Oryctolagus cuniculus: one gene and its partners. The protein of the gene in region 2 purifies or fractionates together with the protein of the main gene of each other region. This does not show direct contact. Links are inferred from orthologs where the notes say so. Each region holds a gene or a part of one and is shown on either strand. Other genes may lie near its edges.

Evidence for each region. The genes of interacting proteins can lie anywhere in the genome.
Region 1: the proteins of TSPYL1 (region 2) and DDX24 purify together in Homo sapiens (affinity purification with mass spectrometry; 3 studies listed by BioGRID and IntAct, counting the BioPlex papers as one, with this or other methods). This does not show direct contact. The link is inferred for Oryctolagus cuniculus from reciprocal best matches to the Homo sapiens genes TSPYL1 and DDX24.
Region 3: the proteins of TSPYL1 (region 2) and ZMYND8 purify together in Homo sapiens (affinity purification with mass spectrometry; 4 studies listed by BioGRID and IntAct, counting the BioPlex papers as one, with this or other methods). This does not show direct contact. The link is inferred for Oryctolagus cuniculus from reciprocal best matches to the Homo sapiens genes TSPYL1 and ZMYND8.

Annotation. Positions count from the first base shown.
Region 1 is NC_091451.1:38,925,460-38,929,104, reverse strand, and holds part of DDX24 (ATP-dependent RNA helicase DDX24), read left to right. Parts: intron 1-484; coding exon 485-991; intron 992-2,190; coding exon 2,191-2,344; intron 2,345-2,622; coding exon 2,623-3,138; intron 3,139-3,645. UniProt on the Homo sapiens protein: ATP-dependent RNA helicase that plays a role in various aspects of RNA metabolism including pre-mRNA splicing and is thereby involved in different biological processes such as cell cycle regulation or innate immunity.
Region 2 is NC_091436.1:54,883,245-54,886,989, reverse strand, and holds the start of TSPYL1 (testis-specific Y-encoded-like protein 1), read right to left. Parts: upstream 2,271-3,745; 5' UTR 1,748-2,270; coding exon 452-1,747; 3' UTR 1-451.
Region 3 is NC_091442.1:12,509,750-12,513,394, reverse strand, and holds part of ZMYND8 (MYND-type zinc finger-containing chromatin reader ZMYND8), read right to left. Parts: intron 2,231-3,645; coding exon 1,721-2,230; intron 1-1,720. UniProt on the Homo sapiens protein: Chromatin reader that recognizes dual histone modifications such as histone H3.1 dimethylated at 'Lys-36' and histone H4 acetylated at 'Lys-16' (H3.1K36me2-H4K16ac) and histone H3 methylated at 'Lys-4' and histone H4 acetylated at 'Lys-14' (H3K4me1-H3K14ac).

The DNA of each region.
Region 1 (3,645 bases), on a different chromosome or scaffold from region 2:
AAATGGCCACTGCCACCAGAGCTGAGCCAGGCTGAAGCCAGGAGCTTCCTGTGTGTTTCCCACACGAGCGGCAAGGGCCCCAGCACTTGAGCCATCTTCTGTCACTTTTCCCAGGCCATTAGCAGGGAGAAGGATCAGAAGTGGGCAGCTGGGACACAAACCGGTGGTGCCCATATGGGATGCTGTCGTCATAGGCAGTGGCTTAGCCTGCTGTGCCACAGCGCCGGCCCCTCGCTTGGAAATTGAGAGTTATCACTGGTGACGTCGGGTCTCAGTGCCAGTCTCAGACTCTTCCTGCAGCTGCTGATTACAGCTGCCTTCTGGTTACATCGCTGTTGGGGAACTTGGGCAAAGTGGAGGAGTTCTGGGTTGGTGGAGGTGGTGCTTAGTTATTTCAGGGTCCCTTATTCTGTGCAGAAGAGAGAATTTCAGACAGAAGCACTGTGCGTCTGTTGATTGACACTGTGTTTTGTTTGTTTTACAGGAAGTGGGAAAACTCTCGCCTTTGCCATCCCCATGATTCACGCTGTGCTGCAGTGGCAGAAGGGGAAGCCCAGCCCTGTTTCAGGGAACGCTGGAATGCCACCCGGGGAGAGCAGGACCAAGGTTGGAACCGAGACTGGCTCACCAAGCAAGTCGGCAGCTGAGTCTGGCGTGTCACCTGGCGGGACTGGAATTGAGAGTGAAGAAGTGCCTCCCGGTGAGGCTGGGTCCACCGTCTCAGCCCAGGCCCTGCCGCTCTGTGGCGAGAGTGATGCTGGTGAAGGGCCTTCCTCCCTGACCCAGGAGAATGCCGTCTGCACACAGAGTGAGGATGAAGAGGAAGGGCTCGGTGAAGAGCCGAGCGGAAAGGCTGAGCAAGAGTCGGAGGGCGGAGCTGCGGCCTGGGAGGCCCCTCCCGCGCGCCCCCTGCTCGGCCTGGTTCTGACGCCCACCCGCGAGCTGGCCGTTCAGGTCAAGCAGCACATCGACGCCGTGGCCAGGTTTACAGGTGAGGTTTGCCTTCACGCGGTGAACGCGTCCTGCCTGGCGCCTAAATGCTCGTGGTAAAGAAGCGGTGGCTCCCGCCCTCGGAGGAAGCTGCTTCTCGTGTGCCTGAGCAGCAAGCCCTACGGAAAACCAGGTGGCGGTGTCTCGGCTCTCTTTGCTGGTGCCGTGTTAGACTCAGGGACGTTAATTAGTCTGTTGGATACGGTGGATGGTTAGGGCACCCATCTGGGTACACACTGCCTGTGGCTGCTTTTGTATTGCAAAGGCCAAGTTGAGTAGAGATAGTGGTTGTGACTTGGACTGTCTGGCCCACAGGAGTAACATTTACTAGTGACTCTTTTTTTTAAAAATTTATTTATTTGAAAGAGTTACACAAAAAGAAGGAGAGGCGGGGTGGGAGGGTCTTCCATCCACTGGTTCACTCCCCAGTTGGCCGCAACAGCCAGAGCTGTGCTGCTCAGGAGCCAGGAGCCTCCTCCAGGTCTCCCATGGGGTGCAGCGGCCCAAGCACTTGGGCCATCCTCCACTGCACTCCCAGGCCACAGCAGAGAGCTGGCCTGGAAGAGGAGCAGCCGGGACTAGAACTGGCGCCCATATGGGATGCCGCCGCCACAGGCGCCCTACCCAGTACGCCGCAGCGCTGGTCCCACTAGTGACTCTTACGAACAAGTCTTAATTCTCCCTGGGAATTCTTTTCAGGAAGGGCTGCACAGTGGGAATTATAGTGTGTGCGAGGCGCTTAGCGGGGCACTTTCCCTGATCCTGCTGTTCTTCCCCGCACTGGGGGCCGTGAGAAGTCTTCCACCCGCGGAGGCATTAGAGGAGCTTCGGATTAACTGTGAGTGAGGAGGGGGAGGCCCCCGGGAGAGGCATGTCACAGCTGCAGGTAATGTCCTCCAGTGTCATTGTCTGCCACCACTCTGTTTGCCCTGGGCTTTGGGCGTCAGCGTGCCTGGGCTCAGAGGGCAGAGAGTAGGAAGAAGTGAGGTTGGAGAAATTGTCCGGGCCCTGGTTACAGAATATTTGGTATGCTCTGTAGGTGTGGCATCCATGGTCAGGCCACACCTGCTCTTACAGCACCCGTTGGCACCTGGATCTGTGCTGGTGACCATCTCTGCTAATCTGGGGCTACCTGTATTAGCTGTGTAAGAAAATAACTTGCCAAACTGAATGAGAGTCCCTATGATTTCTGTCCCACAGGAATTAAAACTGCTATTTTGGTTGGTGGAATGTCTACGCAGAAACAGCAGAGGATGCTGAACCGCCATCCAGAGATAGTGATCGCCACGCCAGGCAGGCTGTGGGAGCTGATCAAAGAAAGACACTCTCATTTGAGCAACCTTCGGCAGCTCAGGTGGGAAATGGTGCCCACCCACCCCTGGTCCTGCAGTGAGCCTGAGCTGGCATCGTGATGTGCGCAGTTTCTTCTGTCACGTAGTGCCGTGGGGCAGTGCGTTCAGTCCCTGGCCTTAAAGCCAAGTGTGCGTGGGGGTGACTCGTCGAGGCCCTAGCGGTGGTGGTAGGGTATCTGCGTGTGTGTGGTTATGAGGGTGTGACTGGGCCGGGGGTCGAATGGGTCGAGTCCCTCTTACCTGCCGCTGACCAGCGGTGTGGGTCTGTCTGGATCTGCAGGTGCCTGGTACTGGACGAGGCTGACCGGATGGTGGAAAAGGGCCACTTCGCTGAGCTCTCGCAGCTGCTGGAGATGCTCAATGACTCCCAGTACAACCCACAGAGGCAGACGCTTGTTTTCTCTGCCACACTGACCCTGGTGCATCAGCTGCCCGCCCGACTCCTTCATAAGAAGCACACCAAGAAAATGGACAAAACTGCCAAGCTCGACCTCCTCGTGCAGAAGGTCGGCATGAGGGGTAAGCCGAAGGTCATCGACCTCACAAGGAACGAGGCCACGGTGGAGACCCTGACGGAGACCAAGATCCACTGCGAGACCGAGGAGAAAGACTTGTACCTCTACTACTTCCTGATGCAGTACCCGGGCCGCAGCTTGGTGTTTGCCAACAGCATCTCCTGCATCAAACGGCTCTCCGGGCTCCTCAAGGTCCTGGACATCATGCCTCTGACGCTGCACGCCTGCATGCACCAGAAGCAGCGGCTCCGAAACCTGGAGCAGTTCGCCCGAATGGAAGAGTGAGTGAAGCCGCCCTCGGCCTGGCCTGCAGCGCCGTGCGGGAGTGGCGGGAGGTCACCGCTGCTGCTGGGCCTTGTGAGAGCAGGCGGTCACCGCTGCTGTAGGGCCTTGTGAGAGCAGGCGGTCACCTCTGCTGCTGTAGGGCCTTGTGAGAGCAGGCGGTCACCTCTGCTGTAGGGCCTTGTGAGAGCAGGCGGCCCCCTTCTGCATGGCGTTCGGCAGGGTCACCGCGTTTAGCAGATTTGGATGCTGCTGATGTCCTCTGACGCTTTCGTAGCACTGAGTAACGGGGACAGTACCTAGTGTTGTTGACACTTCGTCCATTATGACCTAGGCCGGCACTTCAGAAACACCACGTCCCTCCACTCCCCCATCATCCAGGATAGATTTGTAGATAAGGGCACAAACTCTCGAACTGGGCTTCATGAGATCGAATCCTGACCCCACTGCTTCCTTGCTGGTCAAGTTGTTTGACTTCTGTGTGCTTGAGTTTGCTCATAGTGGGA
Region 2 (3,745 bases):
ATGAGTGGGCCCCTGCTGCTCTCCCATGATATCATTAAGCCCCAGTAATTGTCCACAGACCATGAGCCTGTAATGCTGGATGCAGAGGATATGTAGAATGGGCTTCCAAACCAACCTAGAAATGCAGGTGGTAGTAACCAGAACAAAGGCCCTGGGAACAGAGTGTAAGCAGTGTAGATAAAGACAGTGCAATCTACAGCCATCATTTGCTTGGCTTTGCAGTGGTGTGAACCATAGCCATGCAGCACGTGTTATTAATGCAGAACAGCATGAAGGTCATGTGGAAGTAAAGCAGCATGCCCATGATGGTCTCAAGTTTGAGGTTTAGAGGAGGGAATATCCAGCAGAAGACAGGGTGAAGAAAGGTCAACAAGACAGACCCATCACTGTTACCCCAGCACAGGTCCAGCAGATAGTAAGAGACCTTGTGCAGCATTCCCAAGGGTAAGGGTTAACCTGACTGGAATCCAAAGGGCCTGGGGATCTCCACTGGCTCCCTAATTGGTCGACGTCTAGCTCTGCGAACACCTTCACGCAACAAGTAGTACTGCAGTGGATTTGGCCACAAGTCCTCTTTGATAATCTCAGCAATTCTGTCAGATTCTGGAAGGCTGTGGTCTGAAAACCAGGTGAAGAAACTGCAGATGAGGTCTTGGTTTCTACGGATGAAGGACTGGGGTTCATGTCCCCTGCGCCATATGATTGGCGTAGAAAGAGACACTACTCTCCCAGAGGATCGGACCTCGTATTCCTTGACAATCAGCTTATTTCTGAAGTAGGGATTTCTTCGAAAGAAGAACTTGAACTTGCAGCCAGTTCGGGGGTGTCTGAGTTCCTTCACCTCCAAATTGGATATGTACCTTAACATGTCTGCATCTTGGCCCCTAATCATGCCGGACAGCTGGGGATGGTTCCGAAAGGCAGTCATCCAGAAACCCGGGATGTTCTGAATGATGTAGTTTCTCCGCTCCAGGTAGTGTCGACGCATTCGCCCAAACTTCTGCTCCAGCTGTTGGAAGGCCCTGTCAGCCTGAGCATTCACAGTGTCCAGCTCCTGTTGGATGGCCTCCAGGGGGTTCATGCGCAGAACCACATTGAGATGCCAGGGCCCTGCCTCCTCCTTCACCTCCTCTACCACTCCGTTTTCCTCCACCACTTCTATTTCTTCACCTGCTGGCTTCTCCACCTCCATCTCCTCCGCCACTACCTGCTTCTCCTTCACGCCTTCCGTCTCCACCACCTCAGCCCTCTCCTCATCCGCGGCTTCTGAGAAGGAGGCACACTTTTCAATCTTCACTTCCTCCGCCTTCGCCCCCACCATCGCCTCACACTCCGACCTCTCTGCGCCACAGCTTTCGAGAGCCTTCTCCTCACCCTGGAAGACATCATCAAGCCTGCTGCGAGTTGCCACCACCATAGAAGCTGCTCCCAGTCTCTCTGAGGGAGGCGGAGCCTCTTCCCGCCCGGCCGTGATCGCTACGGGACCGCGACCCCCAACGACTCGGATCGGGGGAGCATGCCCACAGCTCGCGGGATCCCGGGGTGCGTCCCCCTCCTCTAAAATCTGGGGCGGCGGGAGCGCAACGGACCCCAAACTTCCCTCACCCGTCTCCGCCATCACCTGCGTCGCCTCGGTTTCCTCGCTGAGCCTCAGGCTCTGGTCCGGATCTCCAGGAGGATGTTCGGGAACAGTAAGGCCGAGGGACTGGGGGAGAGAGGTGCTCTCGACCCCATGCAGGCCGCTCATGTCAGCAACGGTTAGCCAGCGGCAGGGCAGAGTCTGTTTTCCTCACAAGCGCTGCGCTCAGAGATGCACTCCCCCTCACGCCCAACCAGCGCTGTCGCCCACCAACCTCCCCACGCAGGCGTCTCCGGGGCGGTGACGTCAGGGCGGTAGATCTCACCGCCTCGCGAGAACTCGCTGCGCCCGAGGATTGGCTCATCCGCTCCCTGCCGCCAAGCGTATTTTCCTAGTTTCGCTACTGAGTTTATCCGGTTGGAAAGGCAATTATATTTACGTAAATAAATGTAGGTCGTCCTCGAAGACCGACGGCAGTGACGACTTTTCTTTCAATGCATCAGGAAACCGCGTCCAGCATATAGGCAGAGTGATTCAAGGGACTTCGGTCCTCACACTGCGTGCCGTCCAGTGTCTGAAAACATGTTTTTGTGGTTTTCAGGGTTTTTTTGAGGCAGAAAGGTAAGTCTATTCCACTACTCCGTCTGGTTGGGATCAAAAATATTTTTAACCAGATGAATAGTGAAATGTTTCTCCTTCCTGAGGTGGAAGTGACGTGACCTTTACCCTCTCCTCAGCAGTTTTTTTTTTTTTTTAACACCAAAGTGATGCATATTATTTACTGCTGGTCTTCAATTTATAATCTGCATTACATCAGAATTTTATTTGCTAAATCTTGTTCCGTGCCCCTTCACTGTTAGAGGGAATGATAGCTATTTACAATGCCATAACTTTGATTTATTAACATGTTTAGTTCTGTAAGATAGGCAAGTTTGGATCCAATGAAATACCTATTCATGGCAATCAACCCAAGAGAGTTCATTTGAAACAGATGTCATGTCTTTGGTTTAGTTTGCTGACTTGTGAGTGAAAGTGGTGTTATCTTGGGGCCTCTACTCACCACCGTTGTTAAGAGGATAATCCAGGTGGTTTTGATGTAGAAAACAAATTTGTGGAATGCAACATGCAGCTGATTGACTTAAGGTGAAAAGCAGTTTTATGTACTGATTTGCCTTGTATGATAGGCTGATGGTCCCCAAAGAGGATCATGTGCTGATCCTCAGAACTTACTAGGTGGCAAAAGGAGCTTTCCAAGTATGGTTAAATTAATGATCTACACAAGTGAAGATTATCCTAGATTGTCCAGGTGGGCCCTGTGGAATTACAATGGCCCAGATAAAAAAGGAGGCAGCGTGTCAGAGAAAATGTGATGACCAAAGCAGAGGAAAGTGAGAAAAATATTATGCTGCTGGTTTTGAAGATAGAGGAAGGAGCAAGGATCCTAGGAATGAGGTAGCCTCTAGGAGGTAGGACGGTAAGAAAACAGATTCTACCCTTGAGCCTCCAAACGAGTGCAGTCCTCCCAACACCTTGATTTTAAGAAGTCGGATAATAAATTGTCACTTTAAGCTATGAAGTGTATGGTTGTTTGTTTCAGAAGTAATCTGAAATAAATCCACCTTGCGTTAGATTTCGTTGCATGTACTCATGCCTCAAGTTGTTTCTAACAGCAGCCTCTTCAGCTTTCTCCATTGCTTCCCCTAACGTCTTGCCTACTAAGTATGCTTTATCACTGCTTGAAATCCTTTGGATATTGAAACCAAAAATGTACTTAGGCAATACACAGACAAAGTTGAAGCCCAAACATACCACAAAAGATATTTGAGAAGACTGAACTGCAGGAGGACAAGATTGTGGTTTATTTACCTCTGTTTACCTAATAACTAACACACTGTCTTGCACAATATTCCATAGATTGTGTTAAATTAAGGAGAAAATGAATACAGTTTCTCCTGATTGCAAATTGGTACTTGTAAAAGAGAAGTAAGGGACTTTTGGATTGTCACCCTGCTTTCGTCCTTATCCACCTCTGGATACTGGAGGGCCACTGTACTGGGCACAGTCCTGGTTTGGAGAATTAATTTCTGCATGTGTGTCAGAGCCTCTAAAAGCATAGAAAAACCACAAAGAAAACTTTTATTTTATAAATAGTTTACATTTGTGTGA
Region 3 (3,645 bases), on a different chromosome or scaffold from region 2:
TTTATGTGGGGCACCGCACGAGCTCGCTTCATGGCTAGGAGCTCAGACCCAAAACGGAAGCCCAGCCCCCCGATTCTGAAGCCGGAACAGGGCGCGCCGGCAGCATAGCTCTCGCCAGGCCCTTCTGCCCGCCTGCCCTCACCGCCCTTCCATTCTGTGTCTTCCCTCTTGTTTCAGGGCTACACCACCTGTCGATCCGTTGCAAAGCCTTTCTGGACGACGAAGGGGCGTAGCGGGAATCAATGCAGAGCCGTTCCAGACAGAAGGGCTTGGCGTGGGCGTCACGGGAGCCCTGCCCCCACCACACCCTCGGGGGACAAAGGCCAGCCCCCCGCAGTGTTCTCTGCAACCGGGGACACCGTCTCTCAACCCCAATCCTCAGCACAAGGAGCATTTTCTGCGCCCCTCTCGCCTAGGAGATGGCCCTGGGCTGCTGCCTCCTGCTTGCCCACCAATCCCTTCTCTCTCCACTCCAGGGCAGTCAGCGGCGGCTCCCTCTCTCCTGTCACCGCGGGCTCGCGGTCAGCCGCAGGACTGAGAACCACAGGCAGCTGGGAAGGGAGCTCCAGGCAGAAGGGCGGCAGCCCCAGGCCAGGCTTCTCCCGGGTCCTCAATGAACTCCTCACGACCCTCGCCCGCCTGCCAAGCCAGCTGGAAACTACGCTGACCACCTGGGCTGTGGGAAGGGCACCCTTTGAAAGCCCCTGTTCTCCTCCCAGAGGGTCTGCTCACGGGCTGGGCCCTGGGAGGCTTCAGACCACAACAGGTGCAGCGGCCCTCAGTGGGGCAAGCTGTAGCCCGCAGGGGATACTGGCACCGTCTGCCTAATGGGGAGAAGCTGGGGCAGCCGACTCCTGCCAGCACAAGACAAAGAACTACCAGGGGCAGCCGACTCCTGCCAGCACAGGACAAAGAACTACCTGGAGCTGAGCTCTACTGAACGCAAACGGGATGGGACACCAACGCGGGGCCCGGCGCCCCGGGGCCCGCCCATCCCCAGTGCTCCAAGGAGCCAACACCCACAGGGAGAACACTGGGCGGCAGGAAGGGAGGAAGAGGGAAGCTGAACTCATCCAGATCTGAGCTATTCAATGCTTATCGGCTGAGCCCTGTCAAATGTCTGAAAGCTCACAGTGTCCTTAGGGAAATGAGTCAGCGTGCTGGGAAGATGCTACTTGGGCTAAAAATGACTTGACCGGGGCCAGCGTTGTGGTGAAGCGAGTAAAGCCAGCCCGTGACACCAGCATCACATACGGGCACCAGTTCAAGGCCCGGCTGCTCCACTTCCGATCCAGCTCCCTGCTAATGCACCTGGGAAAACGGCAGAAGATGCCAAGTGCTTGGGCCCCTGCACCTGCTTCGGAGAACCAGAAGAAGCTCCTGGCTCCTGGCTCCTGGCTCCTGGCTCCGGATCGGCTCAGCTCCAGTCCTTGCGACCATTTGGGGAGTGAACCAGAGGATGGTTCACTGTCTGTAACTCCCCCTCTCAAATCAGTAGAATCTTTTTTTAAAAAAACTGAAAAGGAAAAGCAATTGTGTTCCGCCTGGAACAGGTGAGAGGCGGGCGGGGGCTGGTGTAAGCCGAGGCTCTGCTGGCCCACTACCTGAGGACCACACCAACCACAGCTGGCACCAGAGGGGCACGGCCCCTTGGATGAGACAAACGCAGGGCGGAACTAGAAACCCAACGAAGAAATGGGGACCGGCCGCGTGCACTCACCGTCCTGCTTGGGAGACGGCTCTTTGGGCTCCTTCTTGGTCTTGCGGCCCTCCCGCCCCGCGTGGTCATCGCCCAGGTCGATGACCAGCTCGCTCTCCGAGTCGGAGTCGAGCCCCAGGTGCACGGTCGGGGAGTCCGTCTCGTCCTTGCCCTTCAGCTTGTCCCTGGTGGGGTGAGGGGAGGGCTTCGCTTTCTCTGCGAAGTCCTTCTCGGGCTCGGGGCTGGCCTTGTCCTTGGCCGTCGCCGCAGGCTCTGCCTTCTCCGCGGCCGGGGGCGAGCCCTTCAGCTCCTCTTTCACCTCGGCCGGGTTGGCAGGCTTGGGCTTTTTTTTGGCAGCGGACGGCTCCTTGTCGGCCCGACCGGCGTCCTTGTCGTCCGCGGGCTCCGGCTCGGCCTTGGGCTTCTCGTCATCGCTGATGTATTCGCTGTCGCTGCTCTCCGACTTCTCGGAGTCCTCGGAGTCGCTGTGCTCCACGGCCGTGTACACGTCTTCCGAGATCTCATTGATGCCTGCAGCCAAGAAGAAAAGCCGGCGTGTGCCGCAGCCGCGCACCTGGGAGCAGGGCCCAACGCAGAGGCTCCGCACGCCGCAGCCGAGGTCTGCACACACGCTTCACATGGTGTCACGCGGGCCGGCTGGGGCCACAGAGGAAGGGACGCAGCTCCCGGCCGCAGACCAGTGCCACTCGTGTGTCTGGAGGTGGTTTCGGGACTGGTATTCAAGCAAGGTGGGGGCGCGCTGACCTAAACCTCAACATGTACAACGCTGCTAACCAGCTGAGACAGTGGGAGGGGCGGAAAGAAAGCCTAGAGATTCCTCAAATGATCCAGCTCACAGATTGGAAAACAGAGGCCCAGAGAAATCGCTGGCCGTAAAGTAAACCACGACACAGGCATGGCGAGACCCTGGGCTCCTGACTCTCGCCAGCCCTGTGCCCGAAGCGTTCAAAGCCCTAACCCTTTGTGTAGGGCTCAAAGCAGGAAGCCAGAGCCTTGGGGGACGGGATGCGAACTCTCAGGCCACCAGCCCAGCGGGTGCGGAGGGGCAGGCGTGAAGGGGTGGGAGCGAGGCCTCGCCCCACAGGGGACCCAGGCGTCTGCATCTGGTGTTCTCACTTAGACTGTGTCACCCTGTTCCAAGTCAGGGAATTCTGCACAGAAATCAAGAGCTGTGGCTAGAACAGAAAGTCTGCCCGCAGCAGGTCACAGGCTGCCTACAGCCAGCAAGCCGCTGGCCCCCTCTGGGTGGGGGGAGTGTGTGGTTTCCCCGCAGCCCGGGGGCCTGGCCCTTCCTGCACCGGTGCAGCCGGCTGCCGTGGCATTTCCACGGTGGCTCCACTTCTGGAGGCATCAAGGGGAAGGCCACGCATTTCCAGGTCTCGGGCAAACAGAGTGGAAAGCAGTAGGCATTCCACACGCTCAAACCACAAACCCCAGGAAAAGCCCGCTCTCTCCTGACAAGAGCTCCGCAGGACACCGTCACGCTTCCTGCCCCGACAACGCCAACGCCATCGCCATCGGGTGTAGGGAAGCTCCACGGAGGCCTCCAAGTTTGAAAAGAAGACAGAAAACACAGTCAGCACTGCACAGTCCTGGGTGGAGGCGCCAGCCGCCCTGAGCGGGGTCTGTCCCCACCCAAAGACACCGAGAGCGACTTGCCAAAGGTAAAAGCCGGGCTCCATCCCAGCAGAGCTCTGTGGAACCTCAGTGGCTCCGCTAGGGCTCAACAAAAACCCAAGTCAAAGTTAAACACTCCGATCTGGATGAACGTCGGGACCTACTACTGGTAGCTAATGGTCAGACAAGAAGGTTCAAGTTCAAGCAGACCTCTGAAAGGAAAAGCTTGGGTCCCGAGCCAAATCCTGCTCTGCTCCTCCCAGCTCTGTGACCCCCTGAGGCAAACAACACATGCTGTGAGCCCCAGG